Linked DNA regions of Saccharomyces cerevisiae S288C. The gene in region 2 interacts genetically with the main gene of each other region. Each region holds a gene or a part of one and is shown on either strand. Other genes may lie near its edges.

Region 1 (4,297 bases), on a different chromosome or scaffold from region 2:
TGTTAAATTGACTGATGGCCATCAAAATACATGCTAAACTAACATATGGACTGGCCCTTTCACCAACACGTGCCATTTTCCAGAAGGCCCCCAAAACCTCATGATTTTTGTAACGATCTAGGAGAGACGGCCACTGCCCATGAACATAAGAACATGAACAAATCAGTAACAATATCACTTGCAGAAGAGAACGAAAATTAAATAATGCAGACATATTCTGTCGTGGAAAAAGGACGCAACTTTGCAAAGTAAATCGATCCGGCTCTCTAGTTATTTTGCAAACGATGTTTACCGCTGTTCTGTCTTTATCCTTGAGTTGTCGTTGCTCACTCTATTGAAGATCAAAATTTCGCTCAAGAAGAGCAGTCCCACCATGCGTACACCACACTACAAAAATGAATGTTATATCGTTTTTTCATGAATTACAAATGTCTATCGAAAAGTTCATTACTAAATATAATAAGATCAGGATCATTAAGAGATAAATTCACTGTGTCAGGTTACTTCCTGATAAGCTGAAACAAGTGGGTTCTTTCCTTAAGATAATGTTCAAATTTACTAAAATCTGTAATTTCAAGAACGTCAAAATTTCTTTTAATCTTGTTGAAAAAATGTTTATCAGCTTTTCTTCTCTTCTTGTAAGCCATCAAGATTACAGGTGGGTTTATGCAGTGAGTGAGATCAAGTAGTGTTTTTTCTAGTAATGGAAAAGCTTCCTCGAGATACACACAATCAGCTGCCAAAACTAGATCAACGTTATTTGCTTGCATAGCACCTTCTTGAGGTGAGAAATCTGCCGACAGCGGCTCACCCCACCAAAGTTCCCTCGCAAGAACTTCATACTGAACTTCGTCCAGTTCTATATTTCTTTTCAATAGTGGTATCAACTTGTCAATGTCCGTAACATATACTTTAGTGCCATCGTGGAATGTGTTTTTTTCCAACAACCCCACGCACAATCCAACTAAACCTGTACCACTACCCAATTCTAAGACTTTTTTAAATTGTTTCGTACCATTGACCGTCTTACTTAGCAGATGGTCAACTGATTTCTCGAGTATGTACTCGCACAACAGTTCGCCAGCGATCCAGACTTTACCGCCACAACCACTTTCACCGCCATCTTCACAAATTTTCAATGCAGGCAATAATTTTCCACCGAAGGAAAGGTCTGTTTGACCGAGATGCTCCTTTGGCCTAGGAACAACTAGATCTCCAAACCCACCAAATATACTCTCCATACTCAATACCTCACTAGTCGCGTTTTTATAACGTTCTAGGGAAAATTATGGGCCATTTTTTTACATAGAGCCTGCTCATCATAACTTTTGAATTATTTAAATACGAAGAATTACTTTCAGTGTTTGGGTGTGAGGGACTTTTCGTTTGGTCAAGCCAAAAAAGCTTAAGAGAAAAGAAAAATCTCTTCTGGTTTTACTTGACTAGGTTTCCAAATTATAATATCCGTATTATTAACGTGACACTCAGTATTCTCCATTCGTTTACGGGAACGTTGATATGTAAACATATGCAGATCCTCGTATTTTAGCAACGACAGGGAGAAACAAGAAATGAGATAGGATGAAAAAAAATAAAAGTTAGATATTTCTATTTAATTAGAATTCCGCGTAATAAATAATGACACGCTATTATAGTTCATGTATTATTATCCATTACAGGACTATCCTCTTGAATTACGGGCGTATCCAACCTTCTTTCAAGTTCTTCTTCAGTTGAACACAACGAAATGGAATCGGCCAAAAATGCCTCTTTGGCCATAAAATCGAAGTGTCCAACCAAAAGCTCCATGTCACGTTCGGTATTCACGGATGCTGTTTCGTAATTTTCAGGATACACTAGTGCTGTTTTGCCATCATCAAGGATTAGGTATTGAGGATTCACTACTAACGTATGCTTGAGATGTGGTTCAAAAAATCTCCTTAGATCTTCGGCAGTATTTCCAGCAACCAAATTTTGAACCAAAAAACCATTTTTCTTAGCCACCTCTACTTTAGGTTCCGTATCTTGAACCTCGAAGTTGATTAGTTTAGCTGTGGTGCGAGCTTGAAATTCTTGTGCTTTCCTTTCCTTCTGCAATTGTTTAAATGATTCATATAGTGGGTAAGCTTCTGCTAATGATAAGACTGGTTTATTGCTTGCGCCATTATCTTCTTTCTTAATAAATACAGATCTCATGGGCTCTCTGTCCTGAGACTCGGAATATAGGCCGTAAGCTTTGGCTAGTTCACGGATGAAGTGGCGTTGAGGAGGCCTCATAGGTTTGAAATGCAAGCTTGAACGTGTTTTATCGTCCATTAATTTATTAAGAATAGCTTCAATTTGTGAACACCATCTTTCTTGCTTTGAATATACTGATAATGCTGCCTCTGTAAACGGTAACTGCAGTTCTTCAAATGTTGTAGCAACAGAGACCAGTTTTTTTAACGCATCTAGTTCATTACTTGTAAAATTATTGGTTTCTTCCTTAATTCCAAATGCCTCCTTCAATTCCTTTAGTCGTTTCAAAGCTTCACATTCTTCATTGCAATCCAGCACGGAAGATTCAGTTACACTTACTCTATCACTTTTTGCGCCACAAGTAACACTTTTTTTGATCCTTCCACATTTACAATAAATTTTCACTAGCGTGGCACAAGGTAAATCGGGACACTCTGTCTTACCATGGCACGGTTTAGGACATTCATGATTACAATTGAGCCTTTTTTGCCCACAGGTCTGTTTACACACCTTTTGGCAATTTCCTGGTAAATGACATGTTTTTTGGCAGGTATGATAACAGTAAGAGAGTGGTATCCCACATTTTATTCCACATGATACGTCTGTTTGAAAACAAACCGTTCTCACTTTAGTTTTCTTCCCACATTTACAAGGTTTAAATACGGTTTCCGTACATGGCGGGCACGACACATCCAAGGAATGACAGGTATGTGGCATTGGTTTATGACCACACGTAGATTCGCCACGCACAACTTTAATACATGGATGATTACATGTAGGTAGCTTCGTGCCACAACGCACGGGTGCAGGAACAACTGTATTGCCACATGGGCAGACCAGATCGTTCGAATCACTCTCTAAACAGGGCGGACACTTTCCTGGGTGACATTTTCTCTGACATTTATGAATTCCACATGATAGGGTCAAGTTACACGGTTTTAGGCAGATATGTTTTGCTTCCACAAGAGACTCATCCAACAAATCTTGCGTTCTGAACAAGTTTTTCTTCCTTCTTATCGCCGATGGCCTACCACTGCAGCACCTATCGGTGCATCTATGTCTACGGCATGACATCAGGGATTCGCATTTAATATTGCAGCGAGGCCTTCCTTGAAATCCACATGGAACTGAAAATGTACTTTGCTCACAAGCACATTTTACACTATCAATTTGCAAGCAGGGTTCCATACAGGCTTTATCATGACAAGTGAAGGGGCACGAATGTTTGCCACATTTTAGTGGTTTACCGCATCTTGAGTCGCAGGTTGGTATCGGATCATCACAATGCTTACGAGGCTTAGTCAGTTCCTCTAGGGCTGTCCGGCCACAGGGACAAGTTTTCAAAGAGCTAGGCAAAAATGGGCATGCCTTTTCTCCATTAATTGTGGGTGGGCTTATGCAAGATTCTATGAATGAATGCTTGCGACATGAGTAGTCGACAACTCTATTATCTGCACAGGCAAACACGCCTATCCACCTGTTCCCATTTTCATCCTTCGACGACTTACCGGACTTGGGAAACTTTGTTTCACTACACTTTATGTTAGCACGAGTGTGGTTACCACAGTAGCATTTTATTTGCTTTTTCGGACTATCTTTACTAATTATCATTTCTGGACATGGCCCACATAAGCCAGGGTGGCATTTCTTTTTACAGGTGTGGATGGAGCAAGATAAAGGCAATCCACATACTTCTTGACAGTTGAAGTTTTTTTTCATAACTTTAGACTGGTAACAAAAGATACTTTTCGAATGCTTACCACAGTGGCACATAATCTCGACCATTCTAGTACACTCTGGATGCGGCCCTAGATGACAAATTTTGGAACAACCATGCATACAAGTAGAAGCATTGCAGGTTTGTCCACATGAGTTAGGATCCAGCGGATTCGGATCAGGATTAACAACTTTACCGCACCAACATGTGGGCCGATTTTTTACCGGAACTCTTTTGCTAACATAATAGCAGTTTGGACATTTCCATATTCTATCTACGGTTTTTTCCGTTGATTTTAACGCCCATTCTCTTATGCATCCGTAATCAAACACTCTATAACAT
Region 2 (3,776 bases):
ATTGAGCTAGGTTCCGTACCTTTTTTAGATAAGATTCTGTCAAAGTAACTTAGTAAATCGTATCCAAAGTAAAGATCATCCTCAAATTGAAATTTCAGTTTATAATCTTCATCTAGCGCTTCATGAAGTCTGTCGTTGAACCATATGAAAAACTTCTCAAAAAGTGTTTCGTCCCTCCCCAAGCCTATTATTGAATTTAATGTCATAGTTAACAATTTCTGTGAACTTTTTAGGAGCACTTCAACAGCTGTCAAATCTGACGTATAACTGAGCTTATTCTGTATAGAAAAGGCTTGTAATATTGCCCTTAACTTCTCCACATAAATAATGATTCTTTCACATGCGGGTACAAATATTAAAGTTAAAATCTGAACAGTTTTTTGGTAAGCTTCACAACCTAAATACTTCCACCTTTTAAAGTTCTTCTCACCTACTGAATTGCAAAGCCAGTCTTCCAAGTCACATGAGATCTCTCCAAGTAAAAAGAGGGCTTCTAATTCCGATTTGAGTTTGCCATATCCGTAGGCTTCATCACACAATCTTTTGACGAAATCTAAATAAGGTGTTGCCAGTTCCCGGTTAATGAACTCGAGATGAGTAAGCATATAACCTATAAGCTCTTTTATTACCATTATATAATTCAGCAGGTTCACTGATGATTTGCTCTGTAATAAAGGTCCTAAATTTAAAGTTTGTACAGTTCCATCCTCATAGAAGCACTGGTAAAAGCCATCTTGAACTTTGATAATTGATTTTAAAGAATTTTCGTTTTCAATATTATCCACCGACAAGAAAACAGCGTAATCACCATTAAAAAAAACTGTAATTTTATCATTTCCCTCATTGAATACTACGTGAACGTCTAGTTTTTCATTACTATCTAGATCATCCTCATCAGGACCTCTCCACAAGCTATTCGGTTGAGTGTAAGGGACAATGTTTATCCTTTTGGAGTCCTTTACAAACCTTATTAGCTTTGGTAAATCATCAATGATGTTACATGCAAAATCTCGATTATTTGGTTCGTATCTTAATGGAATTCGGTCCCATATACCTTTTGATATTTTTGTACTCGGAATTCTTAGGAATGAAACTAATCGACCGTCTTTAAAAATGTCATGGATTCTGATCGTCCCATCCTTAAAAAAGATGGACAAAAATTTACCAGTAGTTGTATCCCAATCGTAATTCGCCACCAAGTTTATATTTCTTATTGGAATTACTGCAAGCCTAGCGTGATCCGAGACTCTGTAAATAGCAAGGCCTTTCGCAATTCTTGTAGCAAAGATTGGAAAAAGAGGGTTATAATCAATGAAATAATCATTAATAGGAGACGACATTTCGTCTTGAGTCGTTTACGCGTGTTCAACAGAACCCTAGGTCACGTCTTCTGATAAATCGAATTGAACGCATTCTGTGCTCCATTTTGTTATGCTTGGTTAAACTTAGGCGCTAGCTACGGAAAACAAAAATGTAAACCTAAAAAACCGTGAAATAACACATATGCGTCAAAATTAACACATGAGTCTACTGAATAACCGACTCAATAGATTAGTGTAGCGCAGGATTAGTACAGCTATGTTTAAGAAGGAGCCTCACATAAAAGCTTTAAGTAATTTGAAGAATTCCGAAAGAAAGAAGTTGCTACAAACATTCCAAAAACAAACGAATAATGAGGAATATAGCTTTCGTACTTCCACTATAAAACAAACCAACTTTAACGGCCAGAAAAGTGTAGGAACGGTTTACACAGATGAGAATAATACCCCAATATTATTCAAGGAAAAGCATAAGGAGCAACTTTTTCCAACTGTGTATTCTTGTTGGGAATATCCTGCGTTATTGCCGATCGTTTTAACTCATGGATTTGTTATAGAAGAACATTTATTCAACGGCGCTAACTTAATGATTTCCGGTTCGATCCCACCCTTTGATCCTCGTTGTAAAATAGGTACTCTTTGTGGTATAGCTAGCAAACAGGCACCAGAAACTGTCTTAGCCATCGGTATTGTCGAATTAGATCTACCGTCCTTTGATAAAGTAATTGGTGAAACAGGAGTTGCTGTCAAAATCATACATCATTTCAATGATGGGCTCTCCAAAGTCTTTAAAATGAAATTGGAACCTCCATTTGTTCTCAGTACTCAATCAAAGGATAACAATATCAGTAGTAAACAGATAGAATCCTCGGAGCAAATCAAGGCTGTTGAAAAGGAACAAGAAGATGTAAAAGAAGCGTCTGTTGATGTAGAGGAGATTGCTGAAGTTCTAGACCATTTCACTGTGTCGGATGTAGATTATTTCATTACAAGAGCATTATATTATACCTTGACTCAAGATAAAGGTTTGGAATTACCCATTTCAGCTTCTAACTTCATCTCAAACCACATTATGCGTAATTTGCCTCCAATTGATCACAATGAAGTCAATGTAAAGAAAACTTCATGGAAAAAAAGCGCAAAATTTTTGAAACACTTCGAGAAAGAAGGCTTCTTGAAATTAAAAGGAAAGGGGGATGACTTAACTATTGTGGGCAAAAATACTGACAAGGATGAGTTAAAGAACTTTGTGCCATATAAGCTTGGTTGTAGCAAGTCTGCCACAGAAAGTAGGGAGAGCACAACCTCGAAGGAGAAAACATCTGGAATGATGTATTCACTGACTCTGTATAAACCCTTTAATCTTGCCAAAGATCTTTTGAAGGAGGTTAATTTGGCTTCTCACACGTACTACACCTCTCAGGACATTAGAAGCGCGGTTTCTCAGTATATTTCTGTCAAGAACCTAGCAGACACAAAAGATAAAGGAAAAGTTATTATGGACGATCTATTATTCGATATGGTCAATAAGAAGAAGAAAGTCTTGAATGCTTCACGTATCATTGCTAGAGGTGAAATTTTGCATCCCTTACTCACCAATAATTTTACCGAGTTCTATCAGATATTCAAAAGCGATGATACTCTCTTGTTCAAGGCGCCAATGAAGGGTTCCCTTCCGCATATTAAGATTATTACTGAAATGAAAATTGGCAGAAAAGTTATTACCAGAGTGAGCAATTTTGAAGTGTTTCAAGTCGACCCAGAATCACTTGCGGCTGACTTAAGAAAGATTTGTAGCGGATCGACAACAATAAGTGAATCACAAACATTCAAATGTGCTGAAGTGCAGGTTCAAGGTCCACACGGTCAATCGATCATTGATCACCTTAACAAGCTAGGTATTCCAAGCAAATGGATAGACTTTGAGAACAAGTTGAAGAAGAAAAAAAGAAAGTAGATTTATATCATATAAATGTTTAAATGCGTAAAAATGCCCGACATCAAAGCATATAGAACTTTTTTACCTAATCGAAGCTTTTCTAAAGTAGGTATTATGGTAGTCTTGAAACCCACAAAAAATATGAATGTATCATGGGAGGGAACGAAATGTTTTCAACAGCGGTAAAAATATACTATATTTGTATATCCAGTTCATCTTTACTATTCTCTATTTTTTAGTGTAACTTACATTATGAGACTAGCGACAAAATCTCCTTTTTAAGCGAAAAGAGAAAACTTTCGAAAAACCAAAGTATTTTGAAAAACGACCTGAAATAAAGGGAATTTGAAGAAAACTAAACAGTGATAAGTCATCAAAGAAGATGCTATCCGTAGTAGCGATCCCGAAAATATGTGTCACAGGTCCTGCAAGAAGATGCTTTTTTCATACTGCAAAAAAACTATACGCAGATGACTATAAACCAGCAGCTATGTCCTCCAATGCACCTTCGCTAACAA

The links. Genes that interact genetically often act in the same process or in processes that back each other up.
Region 1: mutations in TMA64 (region 2) and EFM6 together harm fitness more than expected from each alone (negative genetic interaction), as found in Saccharomyces cerevisiae (one large-scale study listed by BioGRID).

Annotation. Positions count from the first base shown.
Region 1 is NC_001146.8:586,607-590,903, forward strand, and holds EFM6 (putative protein-lysine N-methyltransferase), read right to left. Parts: upstream 1,242-4,297; coding exon 501-1,241; downstream 1-500. Other genes in the region: KSH1 (Ksh1p), read right to left, coding at 1-214; FAP1 (Fap1p), read right to left, coding at 1,657-4,297. UniProt on the Saccharomyces cerevisiae protein: S-adenosyl-L-methionine-dependent protein-lysine N-methyltransferase that methylates elongation factor 1-alpha (TEF1 and TEF2) at 'Lys-390'.
Region 2 is NC_001136.10:683,446-687,221, reverse strand, and holds TMA64 (Tma64p), read left to right. Parts: upstream 1-1,578; coding exon 1,579-3,276; downstream 3,277-3,776. Other genes in the region: APC4 (anaphase promoting complex subunit 4), read right to left, coding at 1-1,340; mitochondrial 54S ribosomal protein uL1m MRPL1, read left to right, coding at 3,641-3,776.